2 linked regions of the Alligator mississippiensis genome follow. The protein of the gene in region 1 purifies or fractionates together with the protein of each later gene. This does not show direct contact. Links are inferred from orthologs where the notes say so. Each region holds a gene or a part of one and is shown on either strand. Other genes may lie near its edges. The genes, in order: GNAI3 and RIC8A.

The links.
Region 2: the proteins of GNAI3 (region 1) and RIC8A purify together in Homo sapiens (affinity purification with mass spectrometry; 3 studies listed by BioGRID and IntAct, counting the BioPlex papers as one, with this or other methods). This does not show direct contact. The link is inferred for Alligator mississippiensis from reciprocal best matches to the Homo sapiens genes GNAI3 and RIC8A.

The regions. Positions count from the first base shown.
Region 1 is NC_081837.1:34,287,576-34,303,823, forward strand, and holds the start of GNAI3 (guanine nucleotide-binding protein G(i) subunit alpha-3), read left to right. Parts: upstream 1-9,791; 5' UTR 9,792-9,879; coding exon 9,880-9,997; intron 9,998-16,248. UniProt on the Homo sapiens protein: Heterotrimeric guanine nucleotide-binding proteins (G proteins) function as transducers downstream of G protein-coupled receptors (GPCRs) in numerous signaling cascades.
Region 2 is NC_081825.1:179,397,785-179,413,840, forward strand, and holds the start of RIC8A (synembryn-A), read left to right. Parts: upstream 1-10,000; 5' UTR 10,001-10,268; intron 10,269-12,492; exon of another isoform or gene 12,493-12,576; intron 12,577-12,775; 5' UTR 12,776-12,875; coding exon 12,876-12,959; intron 12,960-16,056. Other genes in the region: BET1L (BET1-like protein), read right to left, coding at 1,598-1,765, 4,255-4,311, 5,138-5,229, 5,934-6,081.

The sequences.
Region 1 (16,248 bases):
GACTGAATCTGCATCCTTCTGCCTCAGTGCCCAACCTGGAAAGCAGCAGGGCCTGGTGTTTGAGTCCTTCTGGTTAGTTTAGATTGGTGTTGTGGCATTTCTGATTAATCCCTTTTTCACTTGGTTTGGAAGCAGAAAGAGTCCCAGGCTCCCCAGACTTCCTCTGTGTCCCTTGCAAGTTTCCAAAAGAGCTTTGACATGGTTTGGTCTCCATTTCCATTTCCTCTTGACCCTTTTTACTCTGATTTCTGCCCTTTTCCCATCCCAGTAGGAAAATAAGGAAGACAGTGGGCTTCCCAGCACTCAACCCTGCAGCTCCAATGGTTTTCCCAACCTGGGACCCCATTGAGGAGAAGGGGCATGTTGAAGGAAGGGAGAGATGCCCTTTGCTGGTGTTTGACTAAGGCATGACCAACCCTCCCCCATCTCTGGGAGCATCAGGGGGAGAGGGCATTGAGAGGAACCAGTGCAAGCCAGGATTGCAGTAGAACAAGTGGCCTTTTACCTCCAGTTCCCCACAGGTTTCCTTTGAACCAGCACAGTCTCCTCCCTTGCTCTCCATCTTGCACGCCCTGAGCTGGGCATGGGCTCCAGAACAATTTCCTTCCTTCTCCTTTGGTCTTCCAGCAATCCCCACCCAGCTTAGCCTGTCCTGGCCTGGCCTTTCTCCATCTCCTCCAAAGTGCTGCTTGTGTTCATGGCCCCTGCCCCAAGGGGGAGGCAAGGCCCAGGAGCAAGTCTCTTCCCACTCCGGCTCCTGCCTGAGGGGATGCTTTTCCCCAGGTGAGAGTGACTTGGGTGCTGAGCCCAGGCCACACTTTTCTCCATCAGTGCTGCTTTGTGGGCCTGGAGGGTCTCACCCCTTTGACCCCAGCAGCACATGGCCCAGCACAGACACAGCCTGTTCCACAGCCCCAGGGACCACGGGGTCACAGCTGTCTGGCCGGCGGTGCCCATGCCTCTCTGAGCCCAGGCAGAAGCTCTCTCCAGGCTCCAGGTGGGGGGCAGAAAACAATGATGGTGGTTTTTGTATTGACCTGGATCATCTTTTCCTTCTCAGCACCTGCCTCTCCTGTCTCCCCTCCCATGGCAGTGGGGTCTCTAACTCCAGAAGCACAGGCAGCATGAGGGGCCCAGGCAGAGCCTGGGCTGTGGGATAAAGCATCCCTGCTGGCTGGCCCATGGTGGACTCTGCTGGCTGGGGGAGACTCTGGAAGTGCCGATGCCTCCTCATAGCGAGGTCGGATTAGAGCTGGGCTGAACCTACGCTTTTGCCCATTGCACAGCTGCCACTACAGGCACGAGGGGTCCAGCTGCATCTTTCCAACCAGGCCCCATGCTGGAATAAATGGTTGTGGTCCTGGCCTGCTGGACAGACCCTAGTGAGACAGCAGTAGTTGGGGTCTAGCAGGACCTGAGTAGTTGGGATATTGGGTGGTGGGGAGGGGGACCACGCTGGTTTGGATTCTCCTCTGCTTTCCCTTCTGGCATTCATCTCAGCCAGCGGGCAAAGAGCTCTGCAACAGGGATCAGCCGGCAGTCCTCAGCCTGCTGGAATCAATGGCCTTACAAACCACCACTGATTGCAGCAGAGCTAGGGAGCGGCCTCTTGTGGCCAGTGCCCCCTTCTCTGCTGGGCAGGAGGGCAGGGAATCACAGGGAGAAGAGACCAGCCCTCCTTTGGGATTTGATGATGCACTAATCTTAATCCTGGGGGTCCTGCCTTCAGAGCCTGTCAGGGCTGAGTCTGGCTGTGAGCCTCAGGCTGCACAGCCCCCTCTGCACTCCGACCCTGGGTCCTGAGTTGGCTGGCTGGGACATGCCCCAGCAGCCCTGTCTGACCTCCATCACTGCTTCCTGAGGGGTAGGATGTGAGGACATTTTTATGTCGGACGGTTTCATCCTGGAGCAACAAATAAAACTATTTATTATGAAATGTGCCTCCCTGTCTGTGAGGGACCGGACAGGGGTTGGGCATCTGATCATAAACCCCTGAATAGGCTGGACAAGAATCCTGGCCAGCCTTGATGGGGCTGCTGGTCAGGCTGGTTTGAAGATGGGGCTAGGAGTCACCTGGTAGATCTGGCATTAGGAGAATCCAGTGTATCTGCTCCCCATGTTACCTTGCAGCATTTTTCTCTGCAGATCTTTGGAAGGAGCACTGTCCAGCAGGTGCAGCATGGGCTTCAGGGTCCAGGTCTGGAGAGTTGGGCTCCACTCCAGCCCTGCCACAGAGCCTCTCAATGGGCACGTCACTTTGGCTTAGGTTCCCAGAACTAGTGGCCTAAACTTTGAGGGATGAAGCATGCTACATTGTGGTGGCAGATAGTCGGGGCATCGTGCTTGGACTCCAGAAGCAGGTCTTTGAGTTGCACGCTGGATTCATTCCAAAGGTAAATGAACACTCGGTCATTCAGACTGGCAGGTTTAAGGTAGCTGGGGGTGCTGCTGGCCACGGTGCTCCCCTGTGTACCATTGTCTATGGAGATGGTTATGCCTCAGCCACACTAGCCCAAAGGGCTGATTGGGTTTGGCGGATCTTTGATTTTTATCCATAGATCTCAAAGGGCATCATAAAAGCAAGGAAATGCTAGAAACACCCCCCTTCCCTACCTCATGACAGCAGGAAGACTAAAGGCACAGAAAGAGGAGTGACTTGGCTAAGGTCATACAACAAGTCAGTGGCAAAGCTTTGGAGTATAGCACTCACTCAAGTGTCCTGACTCAACCAGCAGCGCCTGCAAGGCAAAGGGCTAGCATAAGGCACTGTGCTCTGACTTGTACCCTCTCTGGAGTGGGAGACAGTAACAGCACATTTTATTCCAGGCTCTCAGGTTTCTCCCATATAGACAAGCTGAAATGATCGAGGGCAGAAGAAAGTGCAGAGAAGTTTGGTGTCAGAAGGCCAGTGGAAGAAGCCAGTGACAAGAATAGAAGTGAACCATGAAGGAAGGCATTGTGGTCTAGTGCAGCGATTCTCAACCTGGGTGCCTTGAGAGCTTTTCAAGGGAGCCATGGGGTGTCATTCAATGTTAGCCCTAGTAGGTGTGTAAACGTGACGCACAAGATAAACCCACTGATTTCAAATGAGAATCCACAGCGTTAAAAACCTTCCGACCTGCTGTGCCCTTTCTCAGTTCTTTGCAATAGAAAAATTGCCACATTATTTTTCCATAGTCAAAAACTGAGTGAAGACTAAGAACCGGCATTTTCCCCGGGCTGCTCTGAGCCTAACAAGGAGTGCCTTGAGTCTAAAAAGCTGAGAAACACTGGTCCAGTGGTTACAGCAGGGGTGTGTGAAGGGGTCAGAACTCCTTGATTCTACTCCCAAACTCTGCTACCAATTCACTTTGTGCCCCAGGCATGGCCTGTCCCCTCTTCGCCTCCATAAAATGGGGACAGTTGTATTTAAGTATGTTGCCCAAGCAATGTGTAATTCAACCCCCACACCACAGCAGTGTGTAATTCAACAATGCAGGTGCTAACAAACACAAAGTGCTTTGAGGTCCCATAAGAAACAGGCCTTGGATCTGTGCAGATAGTGCATATTATTTTGCAGCTATCTAGTTGGTCTAATAAAAGATAGTGCCTCTTCCTCAGGAGTTTTGGATGCCGTGTGACAACTCATACACCCTTGGGGACAGCCCACAAGCAGCTCAGCAGGCAGGGAGCAAGCACAAGGGGGGATCCATCCACTGCTGCCACTATCCTCAGATGATCTGGGAATGGAGGGAGCCCAAGGGCTGGTCCTGCAGGGAGCATATGCACAGGGTGCTAGGGACAGCAGTGGTGGGTGGGTTCCCCCTTCCTGCACTCTCCGTGCCCCCCGCAGTGGTCCCTCACACACAGGTGGGTGTGGGGGTCTACACAGCCCCACTGGATCTACCCCTGTCCCCACACAGCACGAGGTCTGGCCTTGGACTGCGTGTGCACCAGCCCATGACTGCACGCATCTGTGCTTGTGATCACAGACCGGCTCCCAGTCCCTGCTGCATGGCCTTTTCTCCCCCTCTGCTTCCCCCTCACATCCCTGGCAGATCCATCTGCGCTGACCTTTCACGCTCACAGACACTGGAACCGTTTAAGCCCCCTGGGTGTGTGCTTGCTTGATGATCACTCATCCCTTTGTGAGGAGGGACTCCAAAAATAGCCTTCTCTGAAGACCACTTCCTTCATCCCCTGGGTGTGGGCTGCCGTCGATCACGAGAGCTGGGGAAAGAGCGTGTGTTGTGCCATCTGAGTGGTGAGTCATCCTCACCTGGGTAACAGGGACCCATCTCAAGGGAGATGCTGTGAAGGACAGTGGCCTGGAACCAGGAAGGAGCCACTCCTTTCAGGACCGCAGGGTTTCTTTGGTCCTTCTTCCTCCTTCCCCGTGGCTGTGGGAGGGTCTTGTCAACATCATGCTGGATTGGGGAACCACTGCTAGGGCTCTGGAAGTCCCTTTTCATTCCACTCCACTTCTCTGGTAAGGGCCTCCTCCTTGTGTGAGAGGGGAGTTCAGCTGGTGATGACCTCTCTGAGCTGAGATTGCCAGCAGATGGCAACTGGAGCAAACTGGCTGCATCTACATGAGATGGTTACTGCGCAGTCATTTAGTACTTGCATACCTGAGTACTGAATGACTGTGCAGTAACCAGCATTACTGTGCAGTAGCATCCCCACATGGCTTCACGGCGATCCTGACTGCACAGTAGCATCGTGTCACAGTAGCATCGCATCACAGTTCATGCCCTGCGACGCTCCTGTACAGTACTAATGAGCTACTGCGCAGTAAGCGTCTCGTGTAGGCGCAGCCACGGTGTCCAACCTGTGCATTTCAAATAGCCTACTATTGTCAGATTGTCATTGCCAGCCCAGTCTGGATATGAGCCAGCTGCACAGCTCACTGGTCATCCCCTGAGCCACCCAGAACTCCCCTCCCATCCAAACTGTGCCAGTCTGTCCTAGCTTGTCCTGGCTCTGGTCCTCTTTTCCCAAGGGGCTGTTCCCCTGCTCTGTCTATGCAGGCTGACATCTTCCCCTAGCACCTACCTGAAAATGCACTCCTAGCCAACAGGCCCTTCTCTAGTTAGAGACTACTGTTCACTCTTTCCTGTTTGTGTCCTAGTGATATCCTTGTCCCATGAGCAAGAGAGCAGGGGCTGATTTCCAAGGGGGGAGACCTCTGCTTTTAAACTCAATATCAGTGGTTCTCAACCATGTTGGCACCTCTCACTGGACTCGAGGCTCTCCCCATAACTTTGGTGAGTTGAATAGCACCTCATTTCAAAACTAACTTTTGAACTAACTAAAAAACTTTTGAACTAACTAAAAAAAACTACCATGCTGACCTCCTTGCAGATGGGCTGGGCAGTGATGATGAGAGAGAAGCCAGGCAGGGACAAGCTTGAGCCCACGGATGTCTGCTTATCTCTCCACACCCTGTGGCACCCTTCAAAGGATCTGGTGGCACCCCAGGGTGCCCTGGCACCCTGATTGAGCATCTTTTCTACCTGCAGTTCCAGGGCACAGTCGGCAGGTGGCACTACGAGCACAGCAGTGCCAGGAACGTTGCAGGAGCAAGGGCTTTTTTTGGTGATTTCTTTCTTGGGGCCAGGCATAGAGCTGGGAGAGATGTTAGATAAGGGGGCATGAAGTGCCCTTCATTTCACTTCAGGCATGAAGTGTTCCTACATTTGCCGTTTCAGCTTCTAAGCAATGTTGCTGTTCCTTTTCCCTCTCCCATGTCCTGGCCTTTCTGTTGTCCTGCACTCTCCCCACCATGCCCAGTGTGTGGGGACTGCCTTCCTAGAAGGGTGTAGCAAGCACAGCTCATGTCTTGAGCTCTGGTGGCATCAGCTAACAGGTGCTGTGGACTCAGTAGCAGCATGGGAGACTGCTAGGATAAGTCAGACCTGGAGGTGATCCTGTTTCTCTGACTCAGAACTGAACCAATGTCCCTGGGGTCCTGCTTACATTTCACCTGGTCAAGTACCAGCAGTTTACTTACCCCTCCCTGTTCCCCTACCTTGCAGTTTCAGTTGGATACAGATGCAGCTGTCCTTAATCATTGGGCAGCTCACCAGTTCTTCTCTGCAGAAGTGACTGCATCATACTGGTGGCTGAATTGATGTGGAAGTGTTTGTAAAGGGTTTGGGGATGAGGGTTTTCATGCCTGGCATCATTCCTAGGAAAGACTCTGCTTCTGATGAGCTCCATCCTGATTAAAACAATCAGGGCTGGAGGAAAGCATCTGGAAATGCTGTAAATGCACCCGGATGCACACATCCCTCCCCTGCCTCCTAAATAAGCTGACCAAAGCAGTGGTGGGGGTGTCAGCATACAGCTCTTCCCTCTTTACAAGTGTTGCATGGCCCTTTTGGGCTTCAAGATCTTTTCAGTGCCCCACCAGGATTGCTGGTGTGCAAGTCTTCTCCTCTGTAGCTCTTATCCATTTAGCACAACCTCCTTGCCTGGTCTCTTCTCTGTGAGTTTCCATCTCATTGTAAATCTTCCTTGCTGCTCGAAGCCTCTGTATTGATCCCAGCAATGGGAGAACTTACTCACCCTGGCCAAGCTTGGGTGTCTCTAGCCAGTAGTCTCCTTTTCAGGCACCTTCTAGTCCAGCCATTGCTGGGATAGCTCCAGATTTCTTTCTCTTTTGTCTTGTTTAGCAGGAATCTATGGAATCCAAGGAGCCCATCATGGAATTTCCTTCTGGCTCCAGGTGTCATGGAGAATATTTAGCAGCAGAGGGAGGTAGAAGGCTCTTTATGGCAATACATTTCTTGTTTGATGAACAGATTGGGGAAGGATGGTGACAGCCACAATATTTCCTGTGTGGGGGCTGTTCTGGGAATAGCCACCAGAACCAGCCACCTCTTTCTGAATAAAAGAAAGGGGCTGTATTCCAGTTGCTAATGTGGAATTGAGCATAGTTATCTACCAGGACGTGGGGAGGGATGGCTTGAAAGCATTGTAGGCTACAAGATCCTAGATCTCTAGGGAAAGGCATACAACACTAGCAGTTAGTCAGGGCATCAAGGTTCATACTTGAGGAAAGCATGGCTTGGGCATTTTGCAATGGGCAAGGAAGACCTTTTGCTTGCAGAATTCCTAACTGCATTTCCACCTGTAGCTGTGGCTTAGTTGCTGTAGCTTAGTGCATTGTCCCATGTAAAGTGTATTTGGTGTATTGCAGGTTGGTTCCCCCTGGTTTGGACTCTTCCCCAGATGCGCAGTCAGGACAGGAGACACTGAGTGGCCCCAGGGCAGGTAACCTCAGCACTGAACACTTTGTGGCCCCAGCCCAGGGCTCAGGGGTGACAGATCTGCTTTCCACAGGCCCATTTTTCTTCCAGTTACCAAAGACAACAGAGTGTGATGTTGCCACTGCATGTTACTTGCTCAGTACTGTTGCGTGTGAGCCAGCAGAAACTGAGCAACACCAGTGTTCATCCAGTTGGGGCTGCAGTGGACTTGGGGAGAAGGGCCCGCCGTGTTGCAACATGGCAACAAGGCTTGCCATGTTACAACCCTAGCAGTACCTGATCTCACACAGGATTCAGGCTCTTAGCACTGGCAATGTCAGCCTGGGGCTTTTACTAGCACCAGACTCAGGACAAAAATCTCTTGCAGATGGAAGGGTTCCTGTCTGGTACTGGACCCCTCTGCAGTCTTCTAGGAAAGAGAAGATGAGTCTTCTGACGCAGTCGCACATTGTACCCTCTGTGCTGCACAGCAGGTGTCTGCCAGCGCTAGAATCATAGAAAATGAGGGCTGGAAGGGACCTCAGGAGGTCACATCTAGTCCAACCCCCTGCTAAAGGCAGGATCAGCCCCATCTAGATCATCCCAGACAAAGTTTTGTCTAGCCAGGTCTTAAAAACCTCCAAGGATGGAGCTTCCATCACCTCTCTGGGTACCTGTACCAGTGTTTTACTACCCTCCTAGTAATAAAATTCTTCCTGATATCTAATTTAAACCTCTCTTGCTGCAACTTGAGGCCATTACTCCTTGTTCTGTCATCTGCTGCCATTGAGAACAGTCCAGCTCCATCCTCTTTTGAATCCTCCTTCGAATCAGGTAGTTAAATCCCCTCTCATCTTCTCTTCCCTAGACTAAATAAGCCCAGTTCCCTCAGCCACTCCTTATAAGTCATGTGCCCCAGCTCCCGAGCCATTTTTGTTGCCCTTCGCTGCACTCTCTCCAACTTGTCCACAGGTGTGGCCTCACCAGTGCTGAATACAGGTGAATAATCACTTCCCTTTACCTGCTGGCAACACACCTACCAATGCAGCCCAGGATGCTGTTGGCCTTCTTGGCAACAAGGACACATTGCTTGCTCATATTCAGCTAATTGTCCACTGTAACCCCCGGGTCCTTTTTTGCAGAGTTGCTGCCCAGCCAGTCAGCCCCAGCCTGTGCTGTACATGGGATTTTTCTGTCCTAAATGCAGGATTTTGCACTTGTCCTTGTTGAACCTCATGAGATTTCTTTTGGCCCAAGCCTCCAATTGGTCTAGGTCACTCCGAATCCTATCCCTATCCCCCAGCATATCTACTATTCCCGCCAGCTTGGTGTCATCTGCAAACTTGCGGAGGGTGCACTCTATGCCATCTTCCAGGTCCTTGATGAAGACACTGAACAAAAACAGCCCCAGGACCGACCCCTGGGACACTCTACTTGGGCAAGCTGGATTAGTTTGACAGGCTGACAAACATGAGGCCTGGGCCCCAGCTAATGCACCATCAAGCTCTGTGCTGCTGAGAGGCTGGGTCTAGCGCACCAGTGCTAAAGCATGAAGAGCAAGGACTAGGCAAGCAGGGCGGCCGGGGTCAGCAGTGCTGGTGTGACGTGCTACGGCAGGGGAGGTGGGGAGGCAAACTTTTTGGCAGGTGTGCCAGAAATTAGCCCCACACCCTCCCAAGTGTCATCCCTTGTCCTTCCCCTGCTTGGTGTGCTGCTCCACTTTCTGCTTCCATCCCTGCACTCCCTGATCTGCTGCTCTGCTCCCTGCTCTACCACTGAGCTTCCCAGTCTGCCACATGCCCCACACACAGGTTGCCTGTGCTACAGGCTGACCCCTATGCTGTGGGATCACTTAAGGCTCCAAGCCTTACTCTGCGGTGAAGGTATGGCCCATGCTGGCCTTAGCGTCAGCAAAGCAGCTATCACCCTTCCCTTGCACGATGAAGCTAAGGATTTGCAGGCAGGCTGCCTGGCGTTCGACTGCGTCGGTGCCATGGCTGTTGTGAACGAATGAGGTGTGCCTGTGCACGCCAGAGACCTGCCTCTTGCCCTGCACTCTTGCAGGTGTACGCGGGACAGGCCCACTGGTCCCCGGGGGTCCCTCATGGCTGCGGCGGAGGGTGGTTTTCTGCTGGCTCAAGCTGCAGGGCTCTAACCCTGTCCAGTCTCCCCAGGCCACCCCACCCCGCAGGACGGAGGTGCCTGAATGGGCCAGAAATTGTTTCCTGCACCCACTTGCAGGGAAGGTGTGACTGTGCCCATGGGCCAGCAGGGGGGTGGGAGAAGCACGTGGGCCCCCTGCTCAGGGGGGAGGCAGAAGGGAGCCAGTCCCCACCTGCGCATACGTTGAATGGCAAAGCTTGGCACAAGACTCCATTTCCCGACATGCAGGGCGCACGCCTCCATTTCCCAGCATGCAGCGTGTGGGCGGCCACGGCTCGGGACTCTATTTCCCGATAGGTCGCGGTGGGGGCGAGTGTTTTTCCCAGCATGCGGTGCGCGGGCAGAGGCCGCGGCAGCAGCGCCGGTTGACGTCAGGCGGCGGCGGAGCGGATATCCGGCCGCCCCGCCCCGCCCCGCCCCGCCCGCAGCAGCTCGGGCCGCCGGGCTGAGGAGAGGCAGAGCCGCCGCCGCCGCCGCCGCCGCCATGGGCTGCACGCTGAGCGCCGAGGACAAGGCGGCGGTGGAGCGCAGCAAGATGATCGACCGCAACCTGCGCGAGGACGGCGAGAAGGCGGCCAAGGAGGTGAAGCTGCTGCTGCTCGGTGAGGCACCCGCGAAATGGCGGCGGGCCCGTCCTGTCCCGTCCCGTCCCGTCCCGTCCTGTCCCGTCCTCAGGCTGGTCCACGACCCCCCCCCGCCCCGAGCTCCTCACAGGTCCAGACATCTGGCAGCAGGGGAGCTCCCCCCTCCCTCCCTCCCTCTCTGCCAGATTTGGGGTGACTTGGTGCCAGGGCCGGGGGGGATGTGGCAGGAATTGAGTCATGAGCAGAAGTGGCTGACACGGGGGGGGGCAGGACGCGGGCGAGCCCGGCTGGCAACTGCCCCGGTGGAGACGTGTTCTGTGCGCGGAGCTGGGGGATGGCGATGGAGGGGGCGGTTTAGCTGTGGGGGGAAGCCTGGTGACGCCTGTCATGTCACGGCCCCCCCCCGGAGATGTATCGGAGGCACTACTTTTGGGGGGATGATTTAAAAGCGGTGTGGGAGGTGGTTTTCCAGCAGTGACCCGCGTGGAAAGCAGGGGGTTAGCGCGAGTCCCTTCTGTCATCAGCTGCTTTTTTTTCAAGTTTGTCATTTTTTGTTGGGGACGGGCAGGAGCCTGCCTTGCATCCATCCCTTTGCTGAACTCTTGGTTTCCTCAAGAGACGGCGGTAAGAGTCCTCCTACGAAGGACCTGCACTATTGATCTTGTTTTTGGCCAGCCGGTGCTGTGAGCGAGCGGTGCCCTGAGAGCTGTGGTCCTTCGTGTTTGTGCAGATAACACTGCTTGCTAATTGGTTGCGAGTCTCACAGCCCCTGAGGGGTTTTGTTCCCTCGGGACTTGCAAATCCCGCAGAGGAGGGTGGCTTGATGGGGTTACGGTGTTTGTAGCAAGTTTGTCTAAATTGACTTGTAGTTCTCAGCCTCGCTGAACTCGAGGGCTCTTTCATAACTCCTGTAAATTGAGTAGTGCCTCATTTTAAAAACTATTGTGTGTTTACAGTGCTTACCCCCTTGCAGAGAGCCTGGGCCATGGGGGTGGGGGGTCAGCCAGCCTGGGTCTGCTTCTCTGCTGCTCTCCTCACCCCTTGCATTACCCTTCAGAGGATCACACGGCACCCTGACTTTGAGAATCCCTGATGTCAGGTTTTCCTGTGTGCCATGGATGTAGAATACAGTCAGCCATAAATGCCTCTCTCAAAGGAGTTTACCGTTGATAGCACCAGATGTGACTTGCCCAGGACGGTTGCCCTGTTTTGCCAACCCCCCAGGACAGCTTTGGATAGCACTATATATTTCACTGGTCATCCTAGTCCATGGCAGGGCCTGTGTAATTATAGAGAAAATGCTGCGCAACCAATTAAGTCGGTAGCAGGGTGGATCCACAAATGGCACCGAATTTCCATGGGTTTGGATGGCAGTTAAATAGCTGCTTTCCAGAGACACTTCTAAAGGAAAAATGAATAGCTGCTCTGGAATATCTCCAAATATAGTTACTCTCATTCTGGGTTAAGTGTTCACATGTGGATTTACTCAGGAATAGTTGTGCTTTAATTCTGTAGCACCTTAATGTGGATGAGGTTTCTCCTTTCTATCTGGGGTAAGCTACCAGTCTCTGCAATGTCTCCTGGCAGTGAATTCCACAGGCTGATTGCTCACGGTGTGAAAAAGAGCCTCCTCTTGTTAATTTTGAGCCTGCAACCCAGTAACTTCATTTTCTGTCCCCTGGTTCTAGTATTGTCAGGAATATTAAATACGAAATCCCTATTTACTATGTCTGCACCACTTAATGTTTTGTAGACTTGTCATGTCTTCCTTGAAATAAATGTCTCTGTTCTAAGCTGAAAAGTTTTAGCCTATTTAGTTTCTCTTCTTATGGAAGCCCTTCCATACCCCTGATAATCTTTGTTTTTCTTCTCTATACCTCTTCTAGTTCTTCTATATCCCCCCCCTTGAGGTTTCAGAAGCAAGCTTAGTGGTGCCTTGAGCATTACCAGTTACGAAAGGGAATCCTATAAACACATGTTCTTTGTATATAAAATCTGGGCTAGTTTATGTATGGGTAAAGCAAAGCAATCGGTTGCTAAGATTAAATGTACGTACTCAGGCCTCAGTCATTTGGTTAACATTTCAGAAAGCTGAAGGAAAATGTAAATTTTAAATAGTTTGAAACCTAGTGTTTTCATTTAAAAAAATAGTACAATGTCTAGATTGGGGAGAGGGGGAGTATTTTATTTAATTTACCTGTAAGAGATCTTTGAGGCTATTTATATAAACTGTTGCAGTGAAGTCTGGGAGGGGGGGAAGTATTTTGCTTGGGGTGGGGGGGAATAAAAAAAAAAGCTTGAGAAGCTGTAGTCTATTTTCAGAACACAGTTTCCATGTATTGTGAAGTGATGGCTGAGACACAGAACACAGGGAGCCATCTCACCTTCTGACTCTGGTAAAACACTGGCCTCCTTTAGTATTTCTCTGCAGAATTTTTGTGGTTTGGGAGAGCATGCTTGCATTTGCACAAAGTCTACTTGTTCTTCCCAAGCACAGTATTAACAGTGATTCTCAACCAGGGTGTTACAGCAGGTAGGGTGCCTTAATATCCTTTCCAGGGTGCTGCAGGGTGCCAAACAGTGTTAATTCAGTTAGGCATGCAAACATGATTTGCAAGGTGAAACCTAGAGATTTCAAATAGGAATCTGTGGTGTTAAAAGCATTTGGACTTGTTGAGGTCTTTCTGAGTTCTTTGCAACAGAATGGCTCTATTAGTTTTCACTCAATTTGACTACAGAAAACCAAGAGCTGACATTTTCCAAGGAGGTGTCTTGAGCCTAAAAAAGCTGAGAACCAATTCCTTAACAGAATCTTCCAGCATGATGACAAAGCTAAATTGCTACAAGATACAGCTGTGTAAGCTGCATTCACTTTCCCTGCCTCCTTTCAAAAAAAAAAAAAAAAAAAAGACTCCAGTATTGAAAAAAACCCCCAATCTTCTCCCCCCCCCCCCCCCCCACTGTACAGCCAGTTTCTGGTACAGTATTTACTGCTTCTTTGGGTTTCTACTTTTCTTTCTGTTTCTTTATCTTTGCCCTTATTCAGAACACCCCAGAAGCAGCAGAGGAGTATGGGTGCTTGGTCAATTTATCATGTTCTCCAAGCCATTTCATGACTATTTTGTGATCACTGGTGTAAAACAATATAATGTTTATTTCTGTGGTTCCTTTTATGTGAGGCTCTCGCATTACCAGTTATATTTAAGTTTCACAACATTGTCTGTTGGGAAATGGTTACACCCATTGTCAAGCTACATAAGCTGAAGTCTGGGGTTTGCCCAAGGTCATACAAGCCCTTGTAAGATGGAAGGCAATTATGTAATATAGTAGACTCTTGTTAACAGGTCCTTTTGAACCAGTTTTGTAGATAATTTAACTGATCGGGTAGACCAGTCTTCATCACCAGGATAGAAATTGTTGACCTGTTTCCAACAACAAATGTGACTCGGGTAGGGGGGTGGGGAGGAAGCCATGGTAAATCTACGCACAAGAGAGGAACTCCAGAGCTCTTGATTTGCACAACACTCCTCCTTTTGTTATAGTTTGTTTCCATTGCCTCCAGGAAAACTCTGCTTGGCAGGAACAGACGTGCGATTTAGCTGACTCTGGGTTTTTCCTGTTATGATGAGCTGCATGATATGGGAGAGCATAGAAATTGGGGCATTTCTTCCTGGGCAGTTTGTGCTGCCCTATAGTCCATTGCACAATAATTTTCAAAGTGTTTAGTGTGCAATACCTTGCTGCCTTAAGGAAAAAAAAAAAAAAAGCTCATGTTGAATCATTGGTGGCAAAAATACATCCTTTAGTGTAGAAGGCAGTTCCATTGTTGAATCCAGTCAATGTTATTCCTCTGTATGCAACATAAGTGATGAATAGGGGAGTCGTTCCCCCCCCCCGACCACGAGAGCGCTGGTGCCCGCTCTGACAGTGAGCACTCTGGTTGGTAGAGGGGCATGGGGAGTGCTTGTGCCTGTGCCCGTTCCCCCCCCCCCCCCCCCAAATAAAAATTAAAAATTGGCTCCTCTGGTTGCCGGCTGGCTGCTGGGGGACTGTTCCCTGCCTCCCTCATGCCACTCTAGGCTGCCCCCCCCAACTGGGGGTGGGGTGTGCACCAGTTGCCCATGGAACTTAGTGTTGAAAAACGGCATCTTTAGGACTTGAGTCATGCAGGCGCATCCAATATTTGTGCTTAAAATGCATATTAACCTGTTGAAATTACAGGTTTTGACTTAAAACCCCCTAGTACTTGGATGGGCACTTGAACATAATAGAAAAATGTAGTTTGTAGAAAATAATTATAATGGTAAGTCTATCCTAAGACACGTCACATAGCCAATCAACCAAACAAGCATATTGGAAGGAATGGTGCCACGCTCTCTAAAGATTCCTCTTGCCATTTTTTGCTTCTTGGCAAAGCCTGAGAAGTGTCAGTTAGTGCTCTGAAATTTAAACAAGGTTTTGGTGTTTCTGACCAAATTCCAAAGTTGAAGACCACGTGTGGGGGAAATACCCTGCCACTAGTCTTGTCTTTTTTGTGTACACAAAGCAGATGTTTTGGTGTGACAACTGATCTGGGGTCAGCATCTCTATGTAGATTTTCCTGGGACAGAATCCATATTTCCGACAAATGAGCAGTCAGCGTAGATTACAGTGCACCAAAGTAGGTTCATAGAAGTGTGTTTTTTGAACTGTATCTAAATCTCAACCCAGTTTGTGGAAGGGGTCCTTAAAGGTAGGTAGCAATTCTGATATTGCAAGAGTTATCTTGTGTCAGCCATATCTGATGAACACTTCCTCAAAAGCAGATTTGAAATAGTTGATAATGGATTGCCTTGTCAATGTCAAGAGGTGGTGGTTTCTTGAGAGAGACTTGAAGTGGTTCCTTAAGGGCACCTGGTCTTCAAATGAGATGCAAACAGGCTTCATCATGTGACTAATTTTTGCCCAGGTTTTCACCAGCCAGGAAGGTGATGGGTCTGAATTGCCTCCAAAACTTCATTGAGTGACTTGGGTGAATCTCTAGCAAATAGTCTCCATGTAACCTCCTCTGCTTTTTTATTTGCCTTCCCCCCCCCCCCCCCACCCCCCCCCCCAAAAAAAAAAAAAAGACTCGGCCAACCAAGGTGGGGGTTTTTTCCCTTCAAAACAATCTTTTGTTATATTCGGGATTTTGGATCTACAGTGATTTAGCCAGTCCTGAAGAATACTACCAAGCTGTATGCCACCCTGAGCAGAACTATTGTTTCAGACTGAAGGCTGTGGACAGATACATTTTTTTTTCCTTCTCATAGAGTGATCTGTCTGAGAATCTGTATTCTATCTCCACCCTTCCAGAGTCCTCTTGTGCCCAAATCCTCATTCTCTTTGAGGAAGAGCATCAAAACAGGCTCTCTGTTCCAGTGAGAGAAATGTGTACCGAAGTCAGTCCCTTTCATTTGGTGGTTGCTTATTTTAATTTTTTGGGTAATCACCTGCCAAACCCTGTTAATGTAGAAACATTTTTAGATCAAAAGTACATATAGAACATAAAAGTAAATGATTGTGAAAATCCATGTGTTGGGTACTTGTTTATTCATGTATGCAGCAACTTGTTATGCTGCAGTTCATAAGGATGGTGGGGACATTTCTGCGCTGTCCTGCTTCATTAATAAGCATGACTGCTTTTGCTATTTCAGAACTGAAATTAGCAGCAGTTAGAAACCAGATGTGCATATCCTTATTTCACTTTCTCAACTGTTGTATCTCAACCCTTATGTAACCCTCAAAAAGGTAACGGGGTTAAAAGGCATTGGAAATATTGTTACAAAAATTACTTCCTTTCTCTCACATCTGGGGTAAAAGATTCTGTCACCTTTTGTAATATGTGCAAAATGTAGGGTGGCTGTAGTTTTTATAGCCAATGCAGGGAGGTTAACATCTTCAAGTAAGTACTATCAGTCTGGAAAGTTCATGAGATACTACTTTACTAGACCTGGCTGTCTGAGGTCCATGTTTGTGATTAGACATATGCAGGGGTTCAGATGTTCATGTCTAAAGTAATTTCCAGCTTGGATCTTTATATGTAATTAAAAAGCAAAATAGCTCTTATGAAAGGATAGCCCTAAGAAGACCTCCATCATATGAGGAGGTAAACATTTGAGTCAAGAATAGGCAATGTCATTGTCCCACTTCACATAGGACTTGATATCCATGTGTAGAGGTGAGAGAGGAACACTAAAGCAGTTGAACAGAGAGATGTGTTAGTTTGATCTTTTACCAAAAGATCTGTG
Region 2 (16,056 bases), on another chromosome or scaffold:
TACACATTATAAAACATTTATGGCAGAGTTGCTTTGTACAATAAGGGTTTGTTTTTTAATTTTTTTTTAAAAGACCCAAACTCTATTATAGCAGTATTTTACCAGTTATACATGATTTAATGGAATTGAAGGAAGATATAAATAATTCAGATATGAGGGAACAGGCCTGGAACAGAACGAGGGGTGAAGTAATGGCAAGTTCATTCCATGAAAGGGGAGAAGAATGGTGTTTTTCAAGGAACATTCTTAACTAGCATACGGTACACAGTAGGATGGAGTGGCTGAGACATGATTTGCACAGCTTTCTAATGTACAGAATACTGCAGCTTTATAGTAAAATGAGAGCTTTACACATGTGTTGCATCTCAAAGTCCTGAACACTCTAGAGAGTGACTGCTTTAAATAGACAATACTTTTTCATATATTTATTCCAGAAAGATACAACTAGTGGCATGCTGAGCATCTACCAGACTGGCTATAGAGAAGAGACCAAGTTGAGTATCTGAAGTGACTTTCTATTTTTAAAATCACTCTTTTGGTCAAATCCTCTGCTCTTCCTTTTCCTATTGAAAAAAGATGGGGCCATGTTTTACCCTGTTACCTAAACTCTAAGTTTGCGTAAGAAATGTCTTCCTCCACATACCAAAGTGCTAATTCATGAGGATGCCAGTACCAACTGTCCAAGGCACACAACAAGGCCTAAAGCAACTTCAAATCATCTTTTAGACACTGCAAATTAATATTTCCCTGCTCCCTAGGTTTTCAACTGTTTCAGGTCTTTAATGGTTGCAATGGGAAATCCATGTGTACCTATAATCACTCACACATACTTATGATACAAAGAAAATACTAACACCAGCCAGCTCTCTCCTGTAGGGTCTCTCTCTCCCCATCTACTACGAAAATAATCAGTAGAACCAAACTCTTATCCTAATAACATCTACTCTATCCCCAAGTCCATCAGTAGTTCAATGTAACAAGAAGATTTTTAGCTCCAGGCCTACCCTACATGCAATCTGGAACTTCAAAGCACTATACAAAACTATTTTAACCCAGGGAAATACCACTGGCATCCCCATACCAAAATGTGAGTCAGAAAAAAGATTTGGCTTAAAATCCAGGAGTGTCTGCTTCCCAAGCTCACATTCAGCTTTGTAACATGCTCTGCTTTTATAAGTGAACTGAGCACAGGCCAATTGCCCACTTTATGGTTATGGATTTACTTTGATCACAAACCTTCATATTAACAGCATGGGATGACAGTGAAGTTAACACTGAGGCCATGGACAAATCAATAGAAGAGGTTCTGAAGGGTATAGATAGCAAGACGATAGATGACAGCTGACTATCAACAAGATCAAATTATGTCATACATAAATTTAAAAAAGGTTAGAATGAACCATTCACCTTATATTAAGAAAAAAAAATTATATGACCCAGATGTCCAAGACCACCCACAACAACAGTTTCTTTGGACTCCAACTTGTTATCTGATCCTCCAGAAATCTCTCAGCAGGATAAACTGAGGGTGACTTTGAATAAGTCTAACATTGTCACAGCTTTCCATTCCATAAAAATTCCACTACAAGGACCTCACTCAAGTCCGTGCTTTCGACACCAGATAGTAGAGGATGAAGAAGACGACAATCAGTCCAGCAGAAACATAACAGAGTAGTTTGCGATTATCCCTCCCTGATCGCGTCATGCTGGAAAAACGCTTCCCAGTCCCAGTCAGCAGGCCAGTTACACTCATGAAATCTGAGTCCTGAGGGGCAGAAAAGGTGAAATGGAAAAGTTATAACACAAGTCAAGGTTCCCCTGGAATGCACTCCTTATTTCAGTCATTAGCTGCCATGAGAAACAGATAGTAACAGAAATTCTAAGTCTAGATTAAGAAAAAAACCAAAATACAAGAATGCAGTTTTTTGACAAAACAGGTTTGGCTACTCTCTCTCAAACTCCAGGGAAAAGCATCATGTTAAGGATGTCTGAAGGGCAGGATTATAAATGTAACACACGACCCACAGTGTAACCCCCACCCTATGTTAATGTAAGTTTAAAGGTTTTAATTGCACCCTAACCAAAATAATGTCAAATGCCCTCAGAAAAACTTTATTTTTCCCTTTTTCCCCCATCACATCATACAACATACCTCAAAAACATGCGTTAGTGCTGCATGCAACTGCTCTGCCTGTCAAAGCCAGTTATCACTGATTAATTCCATGCAAATTTACTCCAGAATAAGAGTGCCCCCACATGGAATCAGTCACAGATAGCATGTGTAAACAAGCCTTTGAGATTAGAAAAAATGAAATTCCTTCCTGTAGTGTTGTTTGCAGAATAGGTAATAATGTTGCTCAATGTTGTGTCAAGGCACTAAAATACCCTGCTCTACAAATTCTTCCCCATCCTCTTTCCTTTCCTATCTTCTCACAGCACCACCATTATCACAAATCACATTTTCCTACTCAAAACCTTTAAAAAAAATGGCTGCTGTTCACTCTAATTAGTTTCTGATGACCTCCAACCTACCCCTTTCTTAAAGTGCTTGACAGGAAGGCTACTTTCTCAAACCTCTCCCAGAACTATATCTGAAATATGCAGTCTGAGCATGGCTACAAACAAAGAATTTACTTTCTTCCAATTGTTAATAACCCTTTCCTTTCTGATGACAGCTGGTCCCCCCCCCAATTTTGAGTTCAATGAAAAGCTCGTATCACTCCTTCCTCCTGTACCACCTCCCCAGTTATGCAGGCATCTTCATAGGTCCTTCTATTTACCCAGTAGCTTTGCACCTTTGATAATGGTCTTACTTCTGCATCAAATACCCTCCTGTTGGCTGTGCTCTTTTCTTCCCCTTGCTCAGTTATCTGATTTCTACCTTTATCATTTGCTGTATTTTTTAAATGACAGTCAGATGAATACATCATTCAAGAACATTAAGGAAGTCAGAGAGTGTAAGAGACAATGTTAATCTCACAGTTTCTAGCTTAAGCTTAGGTTTACTCCAAGATATTTATCTGAAGTCCATCTCTTGAAGGGAAGTAAAAAAAATGGGTATACCGTCTTGATTTAAGACCCCTCATTTAACTTTTCTGCTGTAATCATGGTCTCTTCCTTCACCCTAACCTTCCACTCTCCTCCATTTCCAGTGAAAACAAGTATACATTAGACCTTCCACACACTGCCCGTGACATCACTGCCTGCATGCCAGCTCTGCTGAAGCCTGAATAGGTTTATCTTGCCTTGCTTTCAATATTGTGGTTATCTTCTATAGGGGTTACATGCCCTAGCTACCCAGATTCCAACCTGCAGACAACCACTTCCCAATCACTCACAGAAACAGCTTGACCACATCAATCCCAAACTCAAACATATCAAAGGAAGGGATTCCAATGCCAAATTGAATCATGAAGTTATTCTTAGTCTAGAAATTCTTGGTGGGCACATTTTAAGCTACAGACCTGGTCTTGTGGCCAAATAGCTTGCTTATTACTTTAAGTACATAAAATGCTTTGAAATTAAATTGTATCATATGAATGAAAATCATTATATTAAGCAATGGAAGAAATCTTGAGGCAAAAAAGTTTGCTTGTGTTTGCTAACGTCAAGTGTGAAGCTAGGGGATTTTCCAGCCACAAATGCATGTATTGGCTGCACAAGCCATTCCCCAAGTCCCTGGATTCTCCATCAGCAATAAAGAGTTTACGAAACATGCCAGATTTTGTCTCAAAAATCACCGTTTTTTAAATACCCGTGGTAATTAAAAATGAGAAGAAAAAGGAACAGAGTACTTGATATTATTAACACTACAAACCCTGATTCCAATTCTATACATCCAGGGCATTTCAGAGGCTGTAGAAGTACCCCCAAGAGATTTATAAACACTTCCAAAACTCCTAAACAGGAGTGACAAAGGCAGGCAGGCAGGCTTATATTATCTTCATAGGAGCCAGTTTGTAATCCTAGTAAGTAAGTAATTTCTACCTGCATTACTGAACTATACTACTCCCTATCAGTGTCAACTGTTATTAAATGCTGGCTGTATTTGCCCAACATAATATTGGGAGCTTTTAAGTTTCTGTTGGCTTATGTACTTAAAACCCCAAACAATGTTTTCATGTTACCTGACATGTGCTGGGTTGTTAAACCCAACTGCCAGAGTTTGATCACCTTTCCTTCTGAACTACAGAGCAAACTCTTTGAAGTCAGCACAAAACCATTCACATGTTAGACATCTCACCAGTGTCTTACCATGCCATCTAGATAGTGATTTTGATCTTCAGCATCTTTGTCAATATCCAGTGCCAGCTAATCAAAACACAGAAGGATGCAAGTGTTACTATCTTCAAATTAACAGATCAACTCCTAATATATCTGAAGCTGGTGAAACCCCAACCACACAAACAGGCCATTACTTCCACTGCCTCCTACACATTACACACTGCCATGTCTGTTCTATGCAATGAAAAAAAGAAGACGGGGGAGGAGGGAGATTCTGCCTACATTTTAAGATTATATAAATTCCTGCGCTTTGCAGCATTGGAAATAAAGGTCTATAGTTGGAAGCTTCTGTACATGAAATGACCATGCCTATCATGAAGCAGTAACAGAACACAGATTCTGGTTTTCTGATAATGATGTTGTCTGTGCATTACAGCCATATGTTAACTGAGGCTTTTGACATTAGTGGAAGCAAATGATTACTGTGAATACTCCTTTAATAGCCATGGATACACCACGACTATCATCACCATAAATATCATGACTCCCTCCTGAAGGAAAACTGAAAGTGTGTTTTTTATTAATATTTTTAACCTGGTTTTATAACTACTTTCTTCCACAGAAGGCACGCCTTGTCTGACATGTTTACCTGCCTTGGCCTCCCTGCCGCTTACTTTTTATATCAAATTTCTTCTCTAGCTGCCACTAAGACCAGACAATTTTGGTGATGAGAAAATTGGTAAAATTTCCCAGCTACATCATTAGAAAAGTTAACTATGCAACCCACCACAGGCTGTATCATATCCTGCATCTTCTCAAACCATGGAATAAAGAAATCACCCCTGTGTAAACCAGCTCCTTTCTCACAGTGAACACAGCAAGGAAAATGGACCACATGGAGTTAGTAACTAACCGATTTCAGCCTGGTGACTTTGGTGGCAAGATTGTCTGCCATATGTTTGTTCTCGACATCCAACATGTCATCCATGCCGTTCTGGCCCTGGCCTGAAAGAGAGAGGAGGAGTCTTATCAGTTATGACACAAACATCAGCATGTAAACTCATCACAGCTGGTAAGAGAACTGGGATTTCTGTTCGCAGCGCCACCGCCACTTTGTTGTTAGTTAGGTGACTCCGAGTACCATTTTAAGAACCGGTTTTTCCTACCCCTGAAATGTTACCCCAGATGTATGATATGTATCCGAGACACCCAACATACATGCAAACCCTGATCCTGCTTTAGCTACACAGGTGCAAAGCTTGAGAGCGCTCAGATTCAATTACTTATAGATATATTATCTGTGTATGTGTGTATACACACACATGCACACCTATACCTAGATATGCAGACACACATGTACATTTTATATATATATATATATATATACACACACACACATACACACACAGGTGCGTGTATCTGTGTATCCACATACAAACACACATATATTTGTTCTTCTTTGACACACGACCATCTACAGTGTGTACAAGACAGGTCAGCTAGTGTGCCGGAGGGGACGTAACAAGGTACCCGCATCAGCAGCTACCGACCCACTGCAGATGTATGCCCCGAGACATGGGGGTCACTGCAGGACGGGTGGGGTGGCAGGGGGCCTGCAGCTCTTACGGAGCCAGTTATCAAAGGGACAGGTTGAAAACATCTCCCGCCTAATACCTGCCCCTCCAAGCGATACAAAAACAGAGACGTACTCCTAGCACCTGGGCAGCACTGGCAGGCATGAAAGGCACCTAGCGCCAGCCTCTGACCTGCCAGCAGCCCAAGCAAGCCCCGGCCAGGCAGGTGAGCGCGGTGGGAGGGCAGGCACACAGCACACGGGGTCGGAGGAAGAGGAGGCATCCCCCCATCCCCGGGCCGGGGCTGGCAAAGCAAAACCTCCCCCAACCAAACAGCCGCATGTGCGCCCCCCCACCGCCCCAGTCACGGGCAGCCCCAGGGACACCCCCAGCATGCAACCGCACGACCCACGCCCGAGCCCCCGGCAGGGATCCGAGCTGAGCGCCCCGCGGCCCCGCTCACCGCGCCCCCACTCCGCCATGGCCGCGGCCCGTCTCCGTGGCCGGCCCCGCCCCGGCTGCTGCGGGCGGAGCCACCGCCGCTCCTTGCCCCGCCCCCGCGCCGCCTGGAGAGAGCCCGGGGCACAGGGGCCGGAGACACTGGCCTGCGGCCGGCTTCCTCCCTCCCTCCCTCCGAGCGGCAGCAGCCGGGGTCTCCAGTTGCAGCAAGGGCAGATTAAGCTGTTAGGGGGAAATAAACCCCGCTCACGCTAGGAAGGGAGCACAGTAAAGGAGCAGGTCGCCTGGCAAGGAAACGCCGTGTATCTGCGTCCAGGAAGGCAGGGTTCCTCAAGCGCTCCCGGGCAAACCTGCTCTTCTGGTGCCCGCCCCGGCGTCGGGGCTTCAAGCCCACTTGATGCAAACGGCAGCCGCTCTCTAGCTCGCTCCTGCGGCCACACGGCTGAGGCGGGGCGAAAGTCGGCGGCATCTGAACCGCTTGGGCCCGCACCTAGGACACCTGCTAAAGGATTTTGGAAACATCTGCAGCCTCTGGTGAGGTGGAGGATGTTTGCGGGCTGTAGGGCCAGTATGGTTCTGGGCTGACTCCGGGATTTGGACTTGATTTGACTGGGAACATGAAACATTTCTTTAAAAAAACAGGTCTTCCAGAGGTGGTGGCCTCTCCATCCTTGGACGTTTTTAGGACCCAGCTAGACAAAGCCTTGGCTGGGAAGATGTAGTTGGGGATGGTCCTGCTTTGAGCAGGGGTTGGACTAGATGACCTCCTGAGGTCCCTTCCAGCCCACATTTCCTAAGACACCACTCATAAAAGCCCCTCGCCTCTCTGGCAGGTTTCCTGGGACATCAGGGCTGCAGCATCCCTCCAGCACTGCCAGACACAAAGGGCACGCTTGTCCAGCCGCAGTTTGACTTCCTTTTTTCTCCCCTCTATAGCAGTGACTCTCAGGCGGGGCCATGGCACCCGAGATCCTTTTTAACCGTGCCACACAATACGATGCACAGGGTAGACCCAGCGACTTCAAAGAGGAATACATAGCAGCAAGAGCCATCACACCTGCTGTGAGAGGCAGGAATTCTTGTGGGCGATTCTTTTATCGGGCCATCTGTGCGCGGTTGGGATAGACTAGTGCTTCTCAACCTTTTTAGGTTTGAGGCACCCCTCCATAGTCTCAAGGCAGTCTCCATAGGGACTGGAATTAGAATTATTGGACTGGACAAATTCTTGGGGAAAAAGGGCATCAGTATCTATTGAGCACAGGAGTTAAGGGTCCAGCCTCTGAATTCAAAGTTCCTGGACCTTAAATGCTAGAGGTTGCAAGTGATGGAAGAAAGTGAATAAAAACCAACCCTGGTCTTGTCTTGTTTACTCTCCCTTTCAGTATCCATTTTCTGCCGCTGTGTGACACAGGCCTATTTGACACATAGGGTTAACGTGCACTTTACCACAAAGCAATAGTTACTCTCCCCGCATAAGCCGCGGAACAGGGTGGGGCACCCAGGCCATGGCCTGACCAACATTTAGCACGTTAACTTAACTAGCTATGCAGTTAAAAAAATAGCTATACAGTTTTAACCGGAATGGCAATTGCGCATTTGTGGGTTATATAAATTGATGTGCTACAAGTTGGTCAGGCTGTGGCCCAGGTGGCCCACCTCGTTCTGCAGGCTATGCCCCCTGTTATTAGAGGGGGCAATTGGGTATATGTCAGTTGATTTCAGGGGACAACTAAAGACAAAACAGGACTGGGAGTGAGGTCAGAGGTTCAAAATGAGTACACCAAGGAGGGGGACACTGAGCAGAGTACACTGGACAGTGCCCACTGAATAAGTCCAGGGAGCTAGTGGACACTGCCAAGTGAAACTTTGTCTGGAGACATGAATGGACCAGGCACAGGAAAATGGCCCTGCAGTCCCCGGGGGGCCCCCAGCCAGAGCCTCTGTGTGACAGGCCTATTTGACACATGTTGGGAACATGGCCCTTATGCCCACAGATCAACAATTACCTCCCCTTAATAATAGAGGGAGCTATTGGGTATGCATCAGCTGAATTCATGGGACAAAAAAAAATACAAAACAAGGACAGGAGTGAAGGTCACAGGTTCAAAACGAGTGCACCAAGGGGGACAGGCTGAGCAGAGTATGCGGGACAGTGCCCACTGGCCCTCAAGTCCAAGGAGGCAGTGGACACTGCCCAGTGAAACTCTGCCCAGAGACATGAACAGACCAGGGACAGGAAAGTGGCCCCACAGTCCCCAGGGGCTGCCCAGCCAGAGTCTCTGTGTGATACAGGCCTATTTAACACCTATTGGGGACATGGGCCTTAGGTTCACATGTGTCAACTGATTACTTGAGAAAACAAAAGAAGCAGGGACAGAGTAAAGGTCATAGGTTCAAAACAAATGCACCAAGGGTAGACATCATGCAGAGCACACGGGACAGTGCCCACTGGTCCCCAGTCAAGTCCAAGGAGCCAGTGAACACCTCCCAGTGAAACTCTGCCTGGAGATGTGGATGGTCTCCCTGGCCAGAGCCTCTGTGTGATAAAGGATCCCCGGCCAAGATGGACCTATAGTCTGATACAGTCAATGGCAATTCTTATGTTCTTACAGGCTGGAGGCAGCCCATCAGGAAAGGCCAGCTCTTATTTTTCACTCATGTTTAGACTACAGAAAAAAAGTAGAGCAATTCTGTTGCAAAGAACTTATGCAGGCCATTCCAGGTCTGAATGCTTTTAACACCATGGATTCCTTTCCTGACATCTCTGGGTTTATTTTGTGAATCCCATTAGCACACTCAACAGGGACAACATTGTGTGGCACCCCTGAAAGGACCTCAAGGCATCCCTGGGTGCCATGGCATCTTGGTTGAAAATCATGGGTGTAAACACCCAAACTTCTGGCTATCCTAGGACCCTATCTCAGGCCTGTGGCCTTGCTGCGTTCTTTGCAGCAGCAGAACGGCTTGATTCTTTTTTTCTGTAGCAGAAACACGAGTGATAATGAAAAGCTGGCATTTTCCAAGGGTTGCCTTGAGTCTCATGAGGGTGCCTTGAGTCTGAAACAAGGTTGAGAACCACTATTGTAGGGATTCCTAAAAAATGAGGGTTGGAAAGGACCTCAAGAGGTCATTTAGTTCAGTGGTTCTCAACTTTTTTTTGTACCAGGACCCATTTGTAAACATTGATGGCCAGTCTGGATTCACTCCGGACCCGCTGCCCCCAGGCCCTAGCCCCTCAGAGTGTGAGGCAGTGGAGGCCCCAAGCAGCCCCTGGCAGGCTGGAGCTCTGCCAGCCTGCAAGGGAAAAACCCTGGTTTCCCATGTTTTTTTCCTATAAGGAAGAATCCATTTTTAAAGTTTCTTGATCCATTTTCCAAGTTGGTTTGTGCCCCTTTCATATATTCTTGTGACCCACGGGTTGAGGAATGCTGATCTAGTCCAGCCCCCTGCTCAGACCAGGACCAGCCCCAACTACATCATCCCAGCAAGTCTTTGTCCAGCTGAGTTTTAAAAACCTCCAAGGATGAAGAGTCTGCCACCTCTCTGGGTGACCTGTTCCAGTGTTTTATTATCCTCCTCAGGAGAAAGCTTTTCCTAATATCAAACCTGAACTTCCCTTGCTGCAACTTGAGCACATTGCTCCTTGTCCTGTCATCTGCCACCACTGAGACCAGCCCTCCCCTGGCAGGCAGCAGGATCCGCCCCTTGCATTTTGCACAGTGCTCATGTTTTTTTTATATTCCTCTTGCTCATAGTGCGGGGCGGGAAACAGCCTCAACCCCTGACAAGGCTCCTGATTGCTTGTATGGTTGGCAGGCTGGTGGGTGATCTCTGCCCTGTCCCACAACCCCAAGCCTCCAGGTAAAGCAGCTCTTCCCTTTGCCTGGGTCTCCACCCAGCTTCCAGCCACCCCTCCCTGCCTCCTCTGGCTGAGAGCTGGGGAGGGCTAGGGGCAGCAGCAGTGTCCAGGAAATGAAGCAGGAAACCTGAGCCAGCGCAGCTAAAGAGAAGGTAACTCGCTCATCTTTTCTCCCTCGGATGGCTCATGGCAGTCAGACATCTCTGTCCCCTTGGCCCCTTAAAATCCCAGCAGAGGTGGCCTTAAAATCCAGCAGTTTGTTGCAGCCTCTGCCACACTTCCATGTAGATTCTCTCTGCAGGGTCCCTGCTTGCCTGAAATCGTCTCCATTTTGTCCCTTTTTTCAAGCGATCAGCAAGGACTTGCTTCACAGGAAAATAGAAAGCCACATCTCTATAATTATTCACTAATGCTGTGATCCCACAAAGGCTTCCGCAGAGGAGCTTTGCCACCAGGAGTATTTTCAGTTCCTCTTAATGGGATTGCTCCCAGATGTAAAGCTAAGCACATGAGTGAATCTCAGTAGGATGCTGGTCAAAAGGAGGAGCAGGAAACCAAGCCTCCTCCTGTTTTCTTAGGGGACTAAAGGTGACAAATAGGTCTGTTTTCTTAGGGGTTTGAACCCTGAGGAAAGAATGGCAATAAAGAGGAGGAGGGGACCTTAAACAAGCAGAATAAAAATTGCAAAGATTGAGGTCAGTGGTTATTATAGTCCATCTCCTGCATTGTTATGTGATGCTGGACTGGGCAACATGCTGGAGAGTACTGTGTTAGGGATAAATCCTGCACTGGTCCTAAAGGAAGGAGCTGTCTGTTCCATCTTTAATGTCTATGCCGCTATGAAATCTCTCTTAGTTCATTGTGTGCATATGTGGACGTTGTATTCCTGTTTTTCTTCCCAAATAATTCTATATGGAGCAATGAGATGTCAGAGTGGGCGCATCTATAGGTGCACTTTAATGTGTAGTAGCCTATTTTACTGCGTATTAAAGCATCTCATAAAAACCATGCTAATATGCGAATGCGTTGTAAAAATAGGCTAGTGTGCTTTAAGCTTCGCTAAAAAAGCATGCACTTTCACTACTCCATATTAGGGTAGCCTAATGCTCATTTATTTAGGATCTCAAATTCAAGGTACCAAATTTAATGTGCGTCAGGAAAAGTGCATTAATGGACGTGTAGACATACTCAGTGTGCATTAAACTGACACTCTGACTTTAACTGTGATAACTTTGTAGCGATGGCACAAACCATATGGCAGAGGTTCTCAAACTGTCGTCTGCGGACCACCACTGGTCTGCAAGCTCCATTCAGGTGGTCCACAGATAGGTTGCAGAACAATCAAAAATATCTGTAGTTGGCCCTGCATTTGATTTATTTTTTCTGACGATGGAGATTAAGTGGTCCGCTGAGACCCTCAGCAATTTTCAAGTGGTCTGCGAAAAAAAAAGTTTGAGAACCGCTGCTTTGTGGTGTCTTAACCCGTGTCTACATTGCGCGTTGTGGCAATGTAGACACATTTGAGTTGGTTTTAATCTAGCTAGCTTGGAGAATGAGAGCAGTGAAGTCACTGGCACAGGTGTCAACCACTGATTACCCAAGGCTCTGGGTGGGTTTATATGGACCAAAATGACACTTGCGCTCTTGCAACATTGCTGCTGTCAGTACCTATGCTATCTAGATCAAAGCCAGTCTGGGTATTTCTGTGCATGTTGCAGTCAGTCATGACTTTCTGTGGCAGTGTAGATATAGATGTAGATGTTTGATTCTGTAGTAAGCAGCTCCCTTTGGAGTCTAGGATTGGGGCTTTGTGTCATTTTACACTACCCGTCTTCAGTACTATTGCAAAATTTGTCACACAGCTATAGAATCTTAAATCTTTGTGCTTTCACAAGTGTGTGGAATCATACTGTGATTTATGATGTGACCCCTTATTATTATTTAAAGTCACAGTTTCAGCACTGTAAGCCTATGTGGTGCTTTATAGACACTTTAAACTCATGCCTAGCCTTTAAACATAAATGTGTGTCTAGTGGTTTATAACAGATCACTTGGCTTTTGAGATGGTGTAAACCTATTTCCTCCTGTATCATGAAGACACACACTTGTGTAGTCTGTTCAGCATGTCCTCCAACTTCCCTAATTACATAGCCCTTTGCAGGCCCCAAATGCACCAGGCTGGGTTTCTTTTTGAAGAAACTGCTGAGGAACTCTTTCATGCCACCTTTAAAAGACTGCTCCACCTTAACCCAGTCGGGATGGAGCTTGTCTGTCTATGTTGCTCTCTTGTGAGCCCCTGTTATTCCCCAGGGATGTTTCTGTGTGTCTGTGTGTGTTGGGGGGGGGGGTGATTTCCTCTGTGCACTATGAGAAATCAGGACAGTCGGTGGTGGAGGAGGAGAAGGAGGGCTATTTCAGGGAGCTGCAGTTATCTGTTCTGTGTTAATCCTCAGGCTGGGGGTGAGGGAGGTTTCCTAAGTGATTTAGTGGGAGGGCATATATTAAACACTGAAAGGCAGAGAGAAGGAAGAGGATTAAAGGGAGGGGGAGAGGGAGAGAAAGAGGAAGCTTGTGGCTGGTTTTACTGGGGATGTTCATCTGCTTTGCTTTTTAGGTATAACAGAGTAAGCAATCGCACTTGTTTTTTTCTCCCCCCCAGCTGTCTGTGTGGCAGGGTCCCCCTGCATCTGTAATTATCCAGCAACATAGCAAAGCCCCTCCCCATCTCGCCTCACATCTGTATCTAAGCTGCTGGAGCAATGGAGCTCAGGACTATGGTAGCGACTGTGGAAAGCAGGGAGCAAGACACAGTCCTCAAGGTGCTGCAGATCTACAATCAGGAGGTGAGTGAGTATGGCAAGCTGCTGCTTGATGTTGCCTTTCCCTATTTATAAGCAGGTTGGTAAGAGGATCCATGTTCTGGGATCTCTGTCAGGCACAAGGCAGGGTAGATCTGTACCTTATAGACTAAATCAGAGGTGCATACACTCTCAGCTCTGTGTTATCCAGCTTCTATCTGCCTCATCTACTTGCATTTGTCTGTATTGCTTGTCTGCTTGATCTTTCCTTTTTCTTTCCTGCAGATCTTGCAAGTAAGGTTTAATAATGAGCATCTAGTAAACATCTCTTTCCTGCTTTCCTTGTGTACTGGAAGCAAAGCCTCTGTAAGGGATTTTCACATCTAGGGTCCATGCTAGAAAACTGAGTGTCAGTGTGGGAGCTGAATAATGAAGGAAGGTTTGAAGGCCTGAGGAGGAGTGATGGATGAAGTTGAGTGGTTATGGCTTTCAATTAATGAGCAAAAACCCCATGGGGATTTTCCAAATATGCATGTTCTGAAAGGTGATCATAGGACAAATTGAAAATAGGATGCAAAAGGAGCAAACTTAGGAATGAGAGATTTCCACTGCTGGGCTAAAAACAGTTCAAAATATTTCATGAGTATACTGTCACCTTCTTAAAAAAAACCATGTATAGTTGTGCTGGGATGGATAATCTATACAAGTGCAGTGAAACTTGCTTCAAGGAAGTTACACCAGAGAGACATTTGGCCCTGCAGAAATACATGACTCATTCTGCACCACTCCTAAGTAGGTGGAAAATGAGCAGAGAAAGCTGCAAATATTATTGCAAAAGTGTCATTTTCCAGGGAAAAATGTGGGTACCACATCTGTTCCAGTCAAGCAGTTCTACATGGGTAGAAATCTCACCTAGGAAACAGTAGGTCCTCTTAAAGAATGACTTAACAGCAGCAATAGCAGAAACCCTGGCAGACAAAACATGAAGGAAAGTAGGAGAACAAAGTGGAAATTTGAAGAGCAGATAGAAATATATAAAAAAAGCCACCAAGACATTCTTGGTAGGTATGTCAACCATAAGAAACCTGTTAGAATATTAGGGAGAAAATGGAATGATTGGTGAGGATAAGATATTGCAGAACAGTGAAACAATTTCTTTCTATTGGTCTTTACCATAGCAATTGATGGTGAGAAACATGCTCCAGACCTATTATTTTCAGGTAACAAACAGGCATTTTTAACATGGAAGGAACTTAATGTTAAGATACCCGAGGAATCCATAACAGCACTGTTGGAGTTTCATATTTTTCAAAGTATCTGGAGAAGGCATAATTTGTAGATGACACAAAATCATTTGAGGAAGTCAAGACTGCCAAAGATCATCAGGACTTCTTGAAGGACCTACCAAAACGCATGCTCCAAAGCTCTTTGAAATCCGTAGAAAGACTATCATCAACTTCACTGAGCACAGGATCAGACTTAAAGCTAGGCAATAAAGTAATATGGAAGCCAAAAATTTCATTGTAGTCTGGTACAAGAATATGTATGTTGGAAAGAACAAGTTGAACTATTTAGACCTTGATAATATGTTCTAAATGAACTGTCATCAGGTGGTGGGGAAGGGGAATCCCTATGCAGTATTTATGAGCAGCTCAAAAAAGCTTTGATGAAACAGCATTGGTCAAAAATGATGGAAGGAAGTACAAAGGATAATAATTTATGGCCTTTTTATGCAGAAGGGGAGAGTAAATTATTGTAATAGTTATGTTTGGACTTAATTTCTTGGCTCATTGATTCATACATTTTAAAGGAGAACACATTTGAAACATTTTAGAAGGAAGTATGCATAATGAACCCGTGGAACTCATTGCCATAAGATAGCATTGAGACAAGGTGGCTGAGTAGAATTAAAAAAGGATTAGACATTTGCATGCATGATAATGAGTTTTATTAGGTAGGCTAAAATATTGAAATCCACATTGAAAACTTGAAATCCTCATCCTTTGGAGCATAAATCAATTTACTAACTGCCTGGGCTTGGGAAGAAAACCCCCACCATGGGCATGAATGTAAAATGGACAATTATACATCATCCTTGGAAGCTTCTGCAGTGGACCACTGTTGGAAGCAGGCTGCCTGAGTAAATGGATCACTGGTCTGATGTAGTAGGGCAACAGTGGTGGGGACTGAGGGAAGGCTCATTGTATCCTTTACCCCTTGGACACTTACAGGTAGTGCAGCCACAGTTTGGCACTGTGGTTTGTTTTCAATTACCTGTGCAGGTGTTACTGCAACCCACACCTGTGTTAGTAATCTAGGATAGTAAGTCCTGGGACCTAAGTGTTCGGTGAATAGAGTAGATACAGATTTCTAGGTCATCCTTTTGAAGATGCCTCTTCTTGAGATGTGGAAATTGTTTCATTCTTTTGAAAAAAAGGATCAGATTAGAAATGTTGTGCTTTGGATGCAGGTGCATGATTCCTATCATCTATCTACTGCAGTGAGTAGTGGGGTGAATCCTGTGATCCCTCCTCCATTTTCAGTCATTCCTGACTCAGATAATGCTGCCACTGATTTCAGAAGGTCTCTGAAAAATGGCTAAGCAAAATCTGAATTGAGGACCTTGGAATTTGGGTCTATATATTTGAGTGACTATGTGAAATGTGCTAAAGAGAAGATGAAAACATTTCTTTTTATGCTTTCCACCCAAAGCTCATTATGAAAGTGAGAGTGAGTTATTTGGTTCATGCTGATTGTAGCTGTGCAATTAAAATGATCGTTGTCACAAAATAAGGCAGTAAATATACACTGCAAGCTGCTATGCAGTGAGAATGTATTTGCATATGCTGATCAGTTGTTTAAAGAACATGTGGTGAATAACTGACATACTGTCAGATATGCTTAGGAGGACCCTAGACAGATTAGTGACAGGCTGGACTGAAAGAGTAGATAGTGAGCACTAACTGTATGAAAAATATATAGATTTGGGCCATAACTGGGCACAGATAGGTTGGACAACATAGCTGGATTATCATGAATAACTACTTCATGGCTAGTTTGTTATAGTTTTAAAAAATAAGTTAGCTGGCTAAAGAGCTGTAGCTAGGAATGTGTCACATATCAGTAGCCGGCTAAAATGACT